Linked DNA regions of Macaca mulatta. The protein of the gene in region 2 interacts with the protein of the main gene of each other region in a biochemical or structural test. Links are inferred from orthologs where the notes say so. Each region holds a gene or a part of one and is shown on either strand. Other genes may lie near its edges. The genes, in order: TIMP2, MMP14 and LUM.

Region 1 (3,646 bases), on a different chromosome or scaffold from region 2:
GCATGGTTAAAAGACCAACGTGTGTGGATCGACTATAAAGGCCACACCTTTCAGACCGAACCTACTCAAAGATCCTTTACTTTGTAATAATTTGAACCGGAGAACCAAAGACGGGAGACGAATGAAAGCAAAGATGCTCAAAGAACCCAAGGAAAGACCTGAAGGAATCCACCTGCATAGGCCACGCGTTCCGCTCCGGGTCAAATGCTTCCACGATGCAGAAACCTCTTTTAAAAAAAGTGCAAGTCTAACACCTACCAAGGGTAATAAAAAACACAGCACAGGAATGATTACAGTTGATGTCAAAAACAAACCAAAACATTAAAAAAACAATCGGCAGAAACAGGAGTAAATGTTACATATGATATCACCGTACAGGAAGCAAACGGGGGTGGGGTGTTACATGGGTTGGAGGGGTCTGGTGGAGTTGTATATACTGAAATCACATGGACTGGTCCATTATGACATCTTACCAACTTTAGATCACTGTACAGCATGAAAACGCCCGTGGGGCAGGGGCCGATTCCTGGATACCCTCCCAGTCTGCCCTAGAAAGGGAAGTCATCAAGATCTGTGCTGACCAGGTCCCGATGGGCATGGGGCCTGCATGCCACTTGGGGGTCAGGAGTCTTAACAGGTGCTTTGGGGTTGCCACTGAATAGAACAGGCTAAGGTGGCTTTGGAAGCATTTTGCAGGACCACTCCCAGGCCGAAAAGCTTCAGTTTCATTGCGTGTGTATGTTTACATAATGTGCCTATATATCGTCAGTTTATCTTCACAACACAGGTGGGAGCAAAAGAGATTCTCCTTATCGTTACCGAGAAAGTTCTTCCTATTCTGATCCCCATATCACGGGCTTCAGGAAACCATGTTTAGGGAACACATAGGTTCCCTAGTTCCCTAAGAAGTTTCTTAGCTAGGTCATCTTTGTCATTTGAGAAATACAAGCAGAAGTTGGTATATCTGCAACTCAGGTTCACCTGTCATCTGAGAATTCATCATCTGAGAATTCATCGTTAGAAAAAGGAGGTGTCTCTTAAAACAGGCCCAAGTATCCTGGAGGCTCAGAAAGAAGTGAGAGTGTCACCAAAGCCACCTACCTCCAAAATCCTTCCCTTCCTAGGCTGGACTTCTTACTACACTTAGCTGGCGTCATGTGCAGAAAGCCCCGTGCAGAACGATGGCTGTCAGTCTTTGAGGGAGAGAACACTAAGCCCAGGAGGGCACAGCAAGACCCAGCTTTTTCTGTCCTCAGGATGTGCAGATGGGGAGCACAGCCAGGCCCTGCACACAAGCCCAGATAAAGCAAAGCCGTGCCACTCAATCCAGGTGCCTGGTGCCAGAATGGGCAAGAAGCAATGGCAACCACAGCAGCTCAGGAAGGGACCTTGAGGGCAGCCACCGGCCCCGGACAGCAGCCTCAGGACAGGACCTCACCAATTCCCCCTGCAGGCTGGGGAAGCATGTGGACGGGGGGTGCAGGAGACCAAAAAGACTCAGCTGAGGCTGGGGTTCCTCGCTCCCATTTCTACAAGGCTCAGAGGGAGGCTCCCACTGGAATTCTGAGGATTAATAGGATTGATGGGGCTCCTTCAAGAATAAGCCGCTGGTTCCAGGCTGTCCCTGGATGTGGGGGGAGCCACAAGTGCTGGGAGGTCATGGTGGGCACCGGGGTGATGGGGGTACTTGCCAGGGGCAGGGAGTGTTACACTAGGGCCAGAGGCGTGGAAGCTGCAGAAAACAAGGGCCATGCCCCTCTCAAGATGAAAGGGACCTGGTAGGCCTGCTACACAGTCTTGCAATGACCCTCAAAAGTTTCTGCAAAATGCACATTTCCAGGCCCCGCCCTAACCCGGCTGGGAGATCCCTAAGTGCTGCCTGCTCGGCATCTGTGACGGTGCCAAGGCAGGGACTGGGAGGCAAGCTACATGTCCCAGCCCTGCCTGCACCCAAGGATCGAAGCCCCAGACACACAGTGCCTGGCAGAGGGAGGATGGGATGAGGACCCTGGACCCATGTCTCCCTCCAGACCCACAACCGTGTCTAAAAGGAGAAGCGGGGAGCAGAACTGTACTAATTTGGACCCACGGGATGAGTGTTTTATTCATGCTGTTTCCAGGAAGGGATGTCAGAGCTGGACCAGTCGAAACCCTTGGAGGCTATTTTTGCAGTTGGCCACAGGGGTGTTGTAGGCCTGCTTATGGGTCCTCGATGTCAAGAAACTCCTGCTTGGGGGGCGCCGCGCCGCGGTACCACGCACAGGAGCCGTCGCTTCTCTTGATGCAGGCGAAGAACTTGGCCTGGTGCCCGTTGATGTTCTTCTCTGTGACCCAGTCCATCCAGAGGCACTCGTCCGGGGAGGAGATGTAGCACGGGATCATGGGGCAGCGTGTGATCTGGGGAGGGGCACACAGAGGGGGATGGAGTCAGGAACCCAGGAAGGGGTGGGCAGAGGCTGCTCTGGGGGCATGTCCAGAACCCGGCAATGTGCCTACCTGCGGTGTGCAGGGATGGCAGCCTCTCCCGAGACCCACAGCTCCTGCAGGGGCAGGCGGCTGGCCTGCGAGGGGGTCTTACCTGCAGGGAAGCTGTGCCCCGCCCACCGGGGCCCCCCTCCTGCTGCAGGTGTGCTTCCCTTTGGGCCATCTTCTACCTTCCTGAGCATGAGAGAATGGCCTGGCTTGGCCCTGCCCTCTGGGGGACATAGCAACAATAAAAGGGCCTGGGTTTCCTGGAGACAGATTCCAGCCCAGTGAAAAGGCCGGGAATTGGGAACTGCTCAAGGCCGAGCCCTGAGGTCATAGGCAACTAGCAATTTGGCAAAGGAACCCGAGGCTACAAGAGGATGACTGCCTTCACTGCCCCATGGAAAGAAAAAGGAAGAACTTGCTTTTGATTTCATGCTGGGCACAGAGGAGTTTTGCTTAACATATGTGTGGCTGGAGACTATGAGTTCAGAATTCCTGTTTTGAACATGCTGAGAAGGGGCTGGTGGCCGTCAGGAGGGAGGGCAGCCCCAGGCAGCTCCCCAAGGAAGGCCAATCCCCACGGCCTCACCAGAGTCTACTGGTCCCAGACTCGCTGGGAGTGACCCAGGGTGGCAGGTGCCCAGCACTCAGCAATGCTTCCGGCAGGAAGGGTGGGGATAGGGTGCTAGGAGCCCACAGGGTAGGAGCCAGCCCGGGAGCCCTGGAGGTGGTGATCTCGCCTTCCACAGTCACATCCAAGCGTCGGGCTGCTACGACTGTGCCTGGCACAACCTCCGGGCTCATTTGAAGAGAAGCAGGTGTTCTCAACACACAGACCCCACGTAGACACCGACCCAGGTGTGAAAATGTCGGGAATGTTGGAAAAAGCATGAGGCCTGCAGTGCCCTCTCACAAGGCACACAAGGGTTTGCATATCCGCATTTGTAGGAAATGATCCATGGGACCATATTCTCCCCATACAGCTCCTTTTTCTGGAAGGGGCAAGTAACAGAGCTGAATTTATGCCTTACTCTCAAATCTCCTAGCCTTCCAGACATCCCCCTCCATTTTTTTTTTTTTTTTGAGACAGAGTCTCACTCTGTCAACCCAGGCTGGGGTACAGTGGCGCGATCTTGGCTCACTGCAACCTCCACCTCCCACGTTCAAGCCATTCTCG
Region 2 (4,245 bases):
CCAGTCCCGGGCTGCTCTCAGGGAGCTGCAGGCTTGCCTTGACCTGTTCTGGCTGATGCTACAGCCAGTGCCTGGGGAGGCCTGCTGTGGCCTGTGCCTAAATATGCAGGAAACGTCTTTTGCCCCTAGCCTCACCTGCAGGATAAATACACCCCAGGCTTATGACCCTTGGTTGGGGAGCAGCTGCTTCAGGACTTGGGGAAGGACAGGACTGGTCTACTTCTGATGCTGGAAGGCAGGAGGACTGAGGCCAGGCCCCCTCAACCCTCAGAGAGCAAAGCTGAGAGAATTCACCTAAAGCAGAACGACAGAAGGGAGGGCAGCACAGAGATGGGGAGAATCCACATCCAGGAGCTCTAGGGGAAATCCCCTCTGGAGTCTTTCAAGAAGCTAGGCGGGTCTAAATATTCATACCCACAACCTCCACCCCATACCCTAGGGAGAAAAATGAAGGCTCAGTCAAGTGAAAGACTTCCCTGGAGTCAAGAGAGCTGCAAGGCCTGGAAAGGAAGTGCCCCCATCCCTCTCCTCCCACCAGGCCTAGGCAAGTTTCTCTCCTCACAGAGACTATGAGGTCGAAACCACAGAAGAGAGGACTCTTGTGTCTGCGGCTGGGGGGGAGGAAGGGCTCAGCGCCAGACGGGCCATAGGGAGGAGAGGGCTGTCCTGGAGCTGGTGCAGGACTCTGGAGGCCTGGTGGGAGGGACCCAGCTGCATGAGGCCTGCACCACCCCAGCTTTCCCTCCACATTGGTCTGGAGTAAAAAGCAACTATGTTGGGTCAAAGAACTCAGCTGGTTGGCTCTGTCTTTGTGAATGAGAGAGATGCAAGGTATCCCCTAGGAGAAAGTCAACGGAACACCTCCCACCTTGGCTTAGGAGTCCAGTGGAGGGTGGGGGGACCTCCAGCTCTGCAGTAGGCCCTGGATCCTAGCCTCTGGGGCTGCTCCTCCCTCCCTTCCAGGGCCCAGAAGCAAATGGTGGTTCTGGCACTGGGACCGCCCATGACCCACTTAAAACGGAGCCAGGGCTGCCGCCCCTCCCCTGGGGGACCCAGCAGAGCAGGGGAGGGAAAAAAGGCAAGGCAGTGAAGTTGGCTGTGGGCAGCTCCCCAGATGCCCAGGCTCGTTTTCTTAGGGGCGCTCCCTTTCAGGTCTCAGAGGAGGACTCTAGGCCTGGGAAGAAGACGACTCCTCCCCGAGAGTCAGGCTCAGCCTCCAGCACTAGGGCAGGTTTTTACTCTCCCTGGTGTCTGAGCACTCCACGTTTCGTCTTCCACCCCCATTCCTGGGGCCATACTTTTCCAGTTGGCCCCAGACCCCTTCAGGGACAGAGAGAGAAGAGAGTATTCTTTCCAAAGAGTTTCCTCCGGGGTGGGACCAGGGCGGAGAAGCCAAACCCAGATCCCATCCCCCTTCTGGGGCCCTTCCTGGCCCCTCCCGACCGCACCCAGGCCCTTGCCAGGCTGAGTGGGTTGAGATGGCCCAAAATAAGAAGCTCATTAAATCCGTCTCCCACCTTCACCCCAAAATAAGAGAGAGAGAGGAAAAACCTCCTCAGACAACTCCCACGCAGCTTCCTCTGGGGCCCGGTGGGCCACCGTCTGGGCCGGGGTGGGGGTGGGGGGCGCCCGAGCCAGTCGAGACGTGTGAGGGCACCCCGGGCCAGACCCTCTCCCCACTCCCCGAGCGACGCCCCCTGGCTCCCTGCAATTAACACAGAAAAACAATTAACAACAAAAAGGGCCTGAAGGCGCCGACGCGGGTGGGGACAGGGGAAGGCAGCGACCCGGCGGATCACCCGGCTCACAAGGAGAGCTTTGTGTGGACGGAAACGCGGCCAGCGCGCCGGCGCTGCGACCCTCGACGCCAGGGATGCGGGTAGGGGGACAGCGGGGTCCTCTCGGGGAGACGGGGGCTGTGGCCCTGGACGCTCGGCCGTCCACCCTCGACCCCCATCTGGCCGCAGACGCGTCTGCTGAGGGCCTGGGCCGCCCGGGGAGGCCGGAGCGCCCATCGGAGGGCGCGCCGGCGGGAGAGCGCTGGAGAGCTGGAAAGTCGAAGGAACAACAAACTCTCGCGCATGACGAGGAGCCGGGACAGCGCGGGGTTTGAGCGGAGTCCAAATGTTTACCAGGCGGTTCCAGAGCGGAACGCAGAGCCCAAGGGAATTGGGGAAGGGGGAGTCTGCCCCAGTGGTAAAGTTCTTCCAAGGACTGGGAAAAAAGAAGGAATGGGAAAGACAGTCGGCGGCGCAGGGGGTGGGGGCAGCTGGTTGGAAGCGGGCAAAAGTTGGATCGATCTGGAAGTTTGGAGACGAAGAGGAAAAAGAAAAGGAGGGGGAGTCCTGCAGGCCCGAACAGCCGAGATCCCAAGAGCCCTCCTCTCCGAATAGAGGCTGTCCCCTTGGAGACCCCCGGGCTCGCCTCCCGGCGGGCGAGACTCCAGGAAGGGCCGGGGAGCTCACTTACTTCGGGACTGAAGGTGCTGCTTTGGGTCGAGCCGAGGGAGGCGAGCGCGGTGCCGAGCGTGAGCAGGGGGAGCAGGAGACAACGGGAGGGTCTTGGGGCGGGAGACATGGTCCGAGACCACCGGGTCAGCCGGGCAGTGTGGGCTCCGCGGCGGGGCCCACGCCCTGGGGTCGCACCGCCACTCCCTCGGGGCGCCTTTGTCTTCGGTAGCACTGAACTTTAATTCCTAGAGCGCTGTCGGCTTGGAATTAAGGGGATTGTTCCTGAAAGTGCCTGTTTGCTCTTCTCCTCTTTTCCGGTTTTTGATCTTTCTTCTGCTTAGTCGGCGAACTGGGGTCTGGATCCCTCTCGCTCTCTCCTCTGGTCCCTCCCTTTTCCCGCAGCCTCTCCTCCGTCCCCGCCCCAGTGCCCTCCTTTCCTGGTTGGGGACGTGGTTGTTTTAGCCTGAATCCAATTACAACCAAGAACTGGAAAAAAAAAAAAAAAAAAAAAAAACAACCAACCCGCTAAGTTGCCTTTTTGTGGTGCAGGCTGCCATCTGCAGGGGTTGAGGCCACGGTGGACAGCAGGGGGCTGTAGGGGACCCAGGGGACGGGATGTGGGAGACTTTCTCCCCATAAGCATATTCTGAGTGGCTTGATTCCTCTGGTATTCAGCATTTGTCTCACCTCAGGGTGGAAATTATTGGGGGCTACGTGGCTATGGGCAACAAGGAGCTCAAAGTGTGGGATGGTGAGGTCTTCCTCTATGCTCATGAGACCTGCATAGGGAGAAGGGGCCAGTTTACTAATAGTTGGGGGGTTATCTTCTGGCCCCTATAGACAACTGTCTATGTTCCTCCCTCCGCTGCCAAAAATTCCAAACTATAACCCAACTACCAACAAAAAACCCCACAACCATACTGGATCTGTGGCTCCAACCTTGTAGAAAGATTCCTTTATTGTCATTTGTAATGTGGCTGCACCTTTAATTGGAACTCGCTGACAGGAAAAGGGTACAAGGCCATGGGATCTGGGGAAAGCAAATCAAGCTGGGTGAAATTATTGTAAAAGAAGGGATTGGGAGTTGGGACGCTGGGGTTTAGTTCCACCTCTACACTGAAAAAGGAGGCAATTCTTAAAGAGTAAAATCTCCTTTAGGGACTTACTGGACTCAACAAAAGATGGAGGTATGTAGGAAAGGGAGAGGGCAGGATAAAGCTGACCGTGAGAAAGGGAGACAGATAAAGAGTCCGGAACTAGACAGATGTGGAAAAGCAGCACAACAGAAGCAGGAAAAGTGTGGGAGACAGAAAACTCGACTATCAGCGAAATCTAAGATCCAAGAATTGCATTTGGTCAGTGAGAGAGGACGGAGGTAGTGCGACGAGGGAGAAGAAAGCAAAGGAAGGAATAAAGGAGGGTGGACAGAAATTAGGTCAGGTAGGAAGCTTCAGAAATCCAAGGGATTCAGGAACTATCGCACTTCTGTGGCAGAAGAATGGAAGTCTAGTGCTCAGTACTGTAATGAAAACAAAGGTCTTTTGCTCTCAGATTCACGATCAATAAAATGAAAAGCTTTTCAGGTCCTGTGGAGCCTCCAGGTTTGTGGGAGGTATATGGTGTGCATTTATTTATTTATTTATTTATTTATTTATTTTGAGATGGAGTCTTGCTCTGTCACCCAGGCTGGAGTGCAGTGGTGCAATCTCGGCTCACTGCAAGCTCCGCCTCCTGGGTTCATGCCATTCTCCTGCCTCAGCCTCCCGAGTAGCTGGGACTACAGGCACCCGCTACC
Region 3 (4,249 bases), on a different chromosome or scaffold from region 2:
GTTTTCTAGAAGGTTGTGATCTAGAATGAGCCACTGCAGATCAGTTACATTCTCAAAGGCCTTTTCATCAATATGGTCAATCTGGTTATTCCTAAGGTAAAGATACTTGATTCCAGGAGGCACCATTGGTACACTTTTCAATTTCAGCTCATCACAGTACATGGCACTTGGGTAGCTTTCAGGGCAGTTACATTCTGGTGCACAGTTTGGTGATGATTGCCCATAAATTGATAGGGGAAAATCATAATCATAGTACTGGCCACTGGTACCACCAATCAATGCCAGGAAGAGAGTAAATGCACTTAGACTCATTTTTGGCAAATGGTTTGAATCCTAAATAAAGTTGAAACATTTATTAATAAAAAATATATACTTTCAAGAAAAGGATATTCAACTTACAACATTAAATGCATTATAAAATGTGCATTTTGTTATTCTTATAGCTATTTTTAGTGCATCTAACGGCGTCTCTTCAATTTTTATTTAGGTATGAGGACAAAGGTGTATGTTTACAACTGTGTGGTGAGCAGGTTTCAGGTTAGATTGCGTACACGTGCGCCCCCTTCTGGGAGAGCCAGGCCTAATTGTTCCAGTCAATCTCTTTAGGCTCTTCCTTAATGAAATGCCTGCCTGTAAGAGGTTTCTGGGTGGTGTTCATTGACCACCGAATTAGACTACTGCTTCAGATCATCTCTCAGAAAACGAGAATGAGAAGACAGTTGTTAACTGTATACTCTACTCTACCATTCGACATCATTAAAATGACTCATGAAGAAGATCCTTACGGGAATATGGGCAACCTGAGGTTTTGCTTGTATGTGGGAGGGAAATGGAAGGCACATTCCTTTAAAACTATCCGGTTATTGTTGGTTCTGAGGAAGGAGAACAGAATTCTTGGTGCTGGTGTGCGTGCATACTAGTGCACGTTGTGCTTGACATTCCACACTTTTTAAAGCACACTGCAAAACTGTGTTCTGAAACTAATATTTCATAAATTAGCTATTTACTAAATTAAATATTAGTAATATTTAAGAATTACTAATATTTATCAGGAAAATGTCACACATTCTAAGGGTTTCTCTATCTGGAAAGAGATTCAACAGGTAGAGAAAGATAGTATTTTCCAAGTTTTCAATTAGAATTATAGTCTCTCTCAATTACTCACAAGTTCTCTACTTTCTTCATGCCAAAATCAAAGATGCCATGATTTGCATGTATCTGGCTTTTAGTGACCTCACAGAATGGAGGTGGGAGAGAGGTGGGACGTTTTTAAAGTTTGGATTTAATACTGGTATTAGAACTATCTAGTAAATTATTCCATTGAGAATATGAATTTAAAATAATGTGTAACAGTTATCTTCTCATAGGAACATGTTTCTCAGGTGAGGTTCAAAAAAGTCCATTTCAGTGTCTTAAGGAGGTGCGGCAATTTAGATATGGGAAAATTAGAATATAAGAGTTAGACTTTTATAGAGTGGAGAGTTGTGGCTGAGTTGGTAGCCCTGGGAGATAAATCATTAATGTGAAGAAAGATCTACATTCTAATAGATAACTGAGAATATTGTATCTTCCTATGAAAGTATGATTACAAGCTTTTGGATCAAGGTAGTTTGGGATAAGCAGGATCTCTGGGGTAAGAAACTGAAAACGTCTTTTATTTGTTTTAATTTGAAATTATAAGGCATTTTATTTCAGATCAGATGGAACGTTATAAAACAGTTGTCAGAAATACTTCGATTGCTGACATAATGTAACATGTAGCCAGATTCTCAGTAAATTACTCTCTAAGATTATAATGGGGGGCATTTAATATTGTTGACAGAACTTGCCATAATAATAATTGCATAGCACTAAAAAGAACATGATGACATATTCCCAGAGTTATTTATAAGTTACAGAATGCAAATACTGTAAAGATTTGTCTTGCTTTATTAATAAGCTATTTTAAATTTAGTATATACCAAAATATTTATGGTAACTATAAGGTGAGTATTAAAAAGTAATGAAAAATGCTTCCACATTTTTTGGCAAAGTAAAAACAAGGATGCTGAACTGAAAGAGAGTTTGTGACCATATAATGACTCCACTATGAGACAAAATCACACTCTACTTCCCTCAGTTTTCTCAAATACCTGTGGCTATAGAGAAAATGCTGTTTCCAAAAACTAAATCATTTCCCAGAATTTCTTTAAAAATTCATTCCTTAAGGCATATATCCAAGAAACAATTTTTTAAATTAACAAAACAGAAATAAATAATCCATAAGAGTCTCTAAATCTTTTAGCTCATGTTTTATAACATAGAATGTGTATTGTAAATTATAACAAATTGCCACAATATACTTATTAAAAGATATTTTGAATGCTGATTAAAATGACCTTTCCTTGCTCCAGTATTAGAGTCCAATACTAACATATATAACTAGTTAGCATACATAACAAACATTTTAATTTCTATATTTTTTCACTGTGTCTACTTTAACTATTTTCTCATTCTAACCTTGAAACTTTTTATAACTTCCCTTGCCAAGCAATATAGCATATACTGTATAAAATCTCAAATCTATAAATCATGGAAAACATATTAAACAAAATGTGAAACTAACTGCTCAAAACTGTGGATTTGATGTGGAATAGCAATTGGCAAAATTGCTCTGGAATTTTTCCTGTTCCTGTTACAAAAAACACTGTCCCAAACAGTTACCATCCCCAGTGCGATAGTTAAAACAGCACTTACCTTACTGTCTTGACACTGCTTTCGTTAATTCTTAAAGCAGATGCACTATGGACAAGAATCCACCAATATATGCTGTAAACTCTGTCAGGACGGAACTGGCTGCCAGATTCTGAGTGATACAAGAGCTGAAGGGGGGTGGGGAGACCCAGCCCAGTCACGCCAGTCTCTGAATGGAGTTATGTCATTGTGGGGATCTTGTGGTGTGGCATGTGAACACTGCTCTCTAACGAAGTGCAGGTGAATGTGGGGAGGAAGGACAGCCCAGTTCATTCCCTATGGAATGGGAGAGAGATACGTGTTTAACTAGCTCAAATACCATAGCTTTTAACCAAGGATTGAGTCCTGCTTCAAATAAGGAAGCTCACTGTGAGAACATTTTTCTTACAAACCTCTTTACATCTGTGGCTGTGGCAACAATTAAGTGCAATGCACTCAGCCAACTATCATGTTTATCTAAAGATCTCATAAATCATAAGCAGGGCAAATAATTTCAGGAAAACACAAATGAACAGACTCAGAGGAATTGAATCCCTTTGCCTATCACTTTTGAAATCAATATAGATTTACTTGGACTAACTTAATTTTTTGGTCATGAGGGTAACTTACATTAGTTTTGAAAATGTGAAATATGCTTCATATACTCTTGGATACACATGATAAATATCAGCATTTCGAGTTTACTTCTAATGCTAAGGAGACTCATTTTATGTTACTCAGGTCTGGAACCAATCAGCAAAGTCTTGTCTGTTTCTTATTTTGTGGATTTTTTTTAGGAATTCACCCAAAACCTTACTTGGGGATAGCATTCTATAGCTTAATGCCAAAAAACATAAAATAACAGAGAAAAAAATAAATTTATACTAAAAGTATCACAAGGCAATAATCTTTCATTCTCTCATTGCATGCTATAATTTTTTTTTCAAAGTTAAAAGTTATTCAAAGTTATAATCTCCCAAAGACCTGGCTGGATATATCTTTCATTATCAGCTCCTGATGCATGGTTTCAGCAAATGAGAGATGTACTTAAATCCTTGTCTATTTCATTTTGTGATTTTATCAGTTATATTTATGTGATTTTTTTTCTAAAATGTTTCATTTCCTCATATTTATAAGAACTTTTACAACAAGATATTTTAGTATAAATTGTCACATTGTATTTTTGTCTTTAAAAATAACTATATTACATTTTAGCAGTGAGACTTGTGGAAGATTAACTCCATGACTAATACTGCATTTGCCTGACAAAAGACTATTAGAATAAATGCCTTATTTTTGTAATAGAACTGTTCAAAAACAAAAAGTAATCTTCTTGAAAGTAACTAATGGAATTGTAAGATGATTCATAAGCATACAATTTTTACTAATATTATTTTAAGAAAATTATTGATAGGCATCAGTTTCAACAAAGTAACTGAACAAATTTATAAGGAATTAAGAAAAAAAGACCAATCAAATATAATTAAGTGATCTTGTTATAAGAGTATTCTTAAAACAATGCTAAGTATTAATTTTG

Evidence for each region.
Region 1: the proteins of MMP14 (region 2) and TIMP2 form a complex in vitro, tested with the Homo sapiens proteins (2 studies listed by BioGRID). The link is inferred for Macaca mulatta from reciprocal best matches to the Homo sapiens genes MMP14 and TIMP2.
Region 3: the proteins of MMP14 (region 2) and LUM interact in a biophysical measurement, tested with the Homo sapiens proteins (2 studies listed by BioGRID and IntAct, with this or other methods). The link is inferred for Macaca mulatta from reciprocal best matches to the Homo sapiens genes MMP14 and LUM.

What each region holds. Positions count from the first base shown.
Region 1 is NC_133421.1:88,536,993-88,540,638, forward strand, and holds part of TIMP2 (metalloproteinase inhibitor 2), read right to left. Parts: intron 2,398-3,646; coding exon 2,200-2,397; 3' UTR 1-2,199. UniProt on the Homo sapiens protein: Complexes with metalloproteinases (such as collagenases) and irreversibly inactivates them by binding to their catalytic zinc cofactor. Known to act on MMP-1, MMP-2, MMP-3, MMP-7, MMP-8, MMP-9, MMP-10, MMP-13, MMP-14, MMP-15, MMP-16 and MMP-19.
Region 2 is NC_133412.1:95,912,012-95,916,256, reverse strand, and holds the start of MMP14 (matrix metalloproteinase-14 precursor), read right to left. Parts: upstream 2,813-4,245; 5' UTR 2,578-2,812; coding exon 2,470-2,577; intron 1-2,469.
Region 3 is NC_133416.1:98,417,229-98,421,477, forward strand, and holds the start of LUM (lumican precursor), read right to left. Parts: upstream 2,836-4,249; 5' UTR 2,737-2,835; intron 334-2,736; 5' UTR 313-333; coding exon 1-312.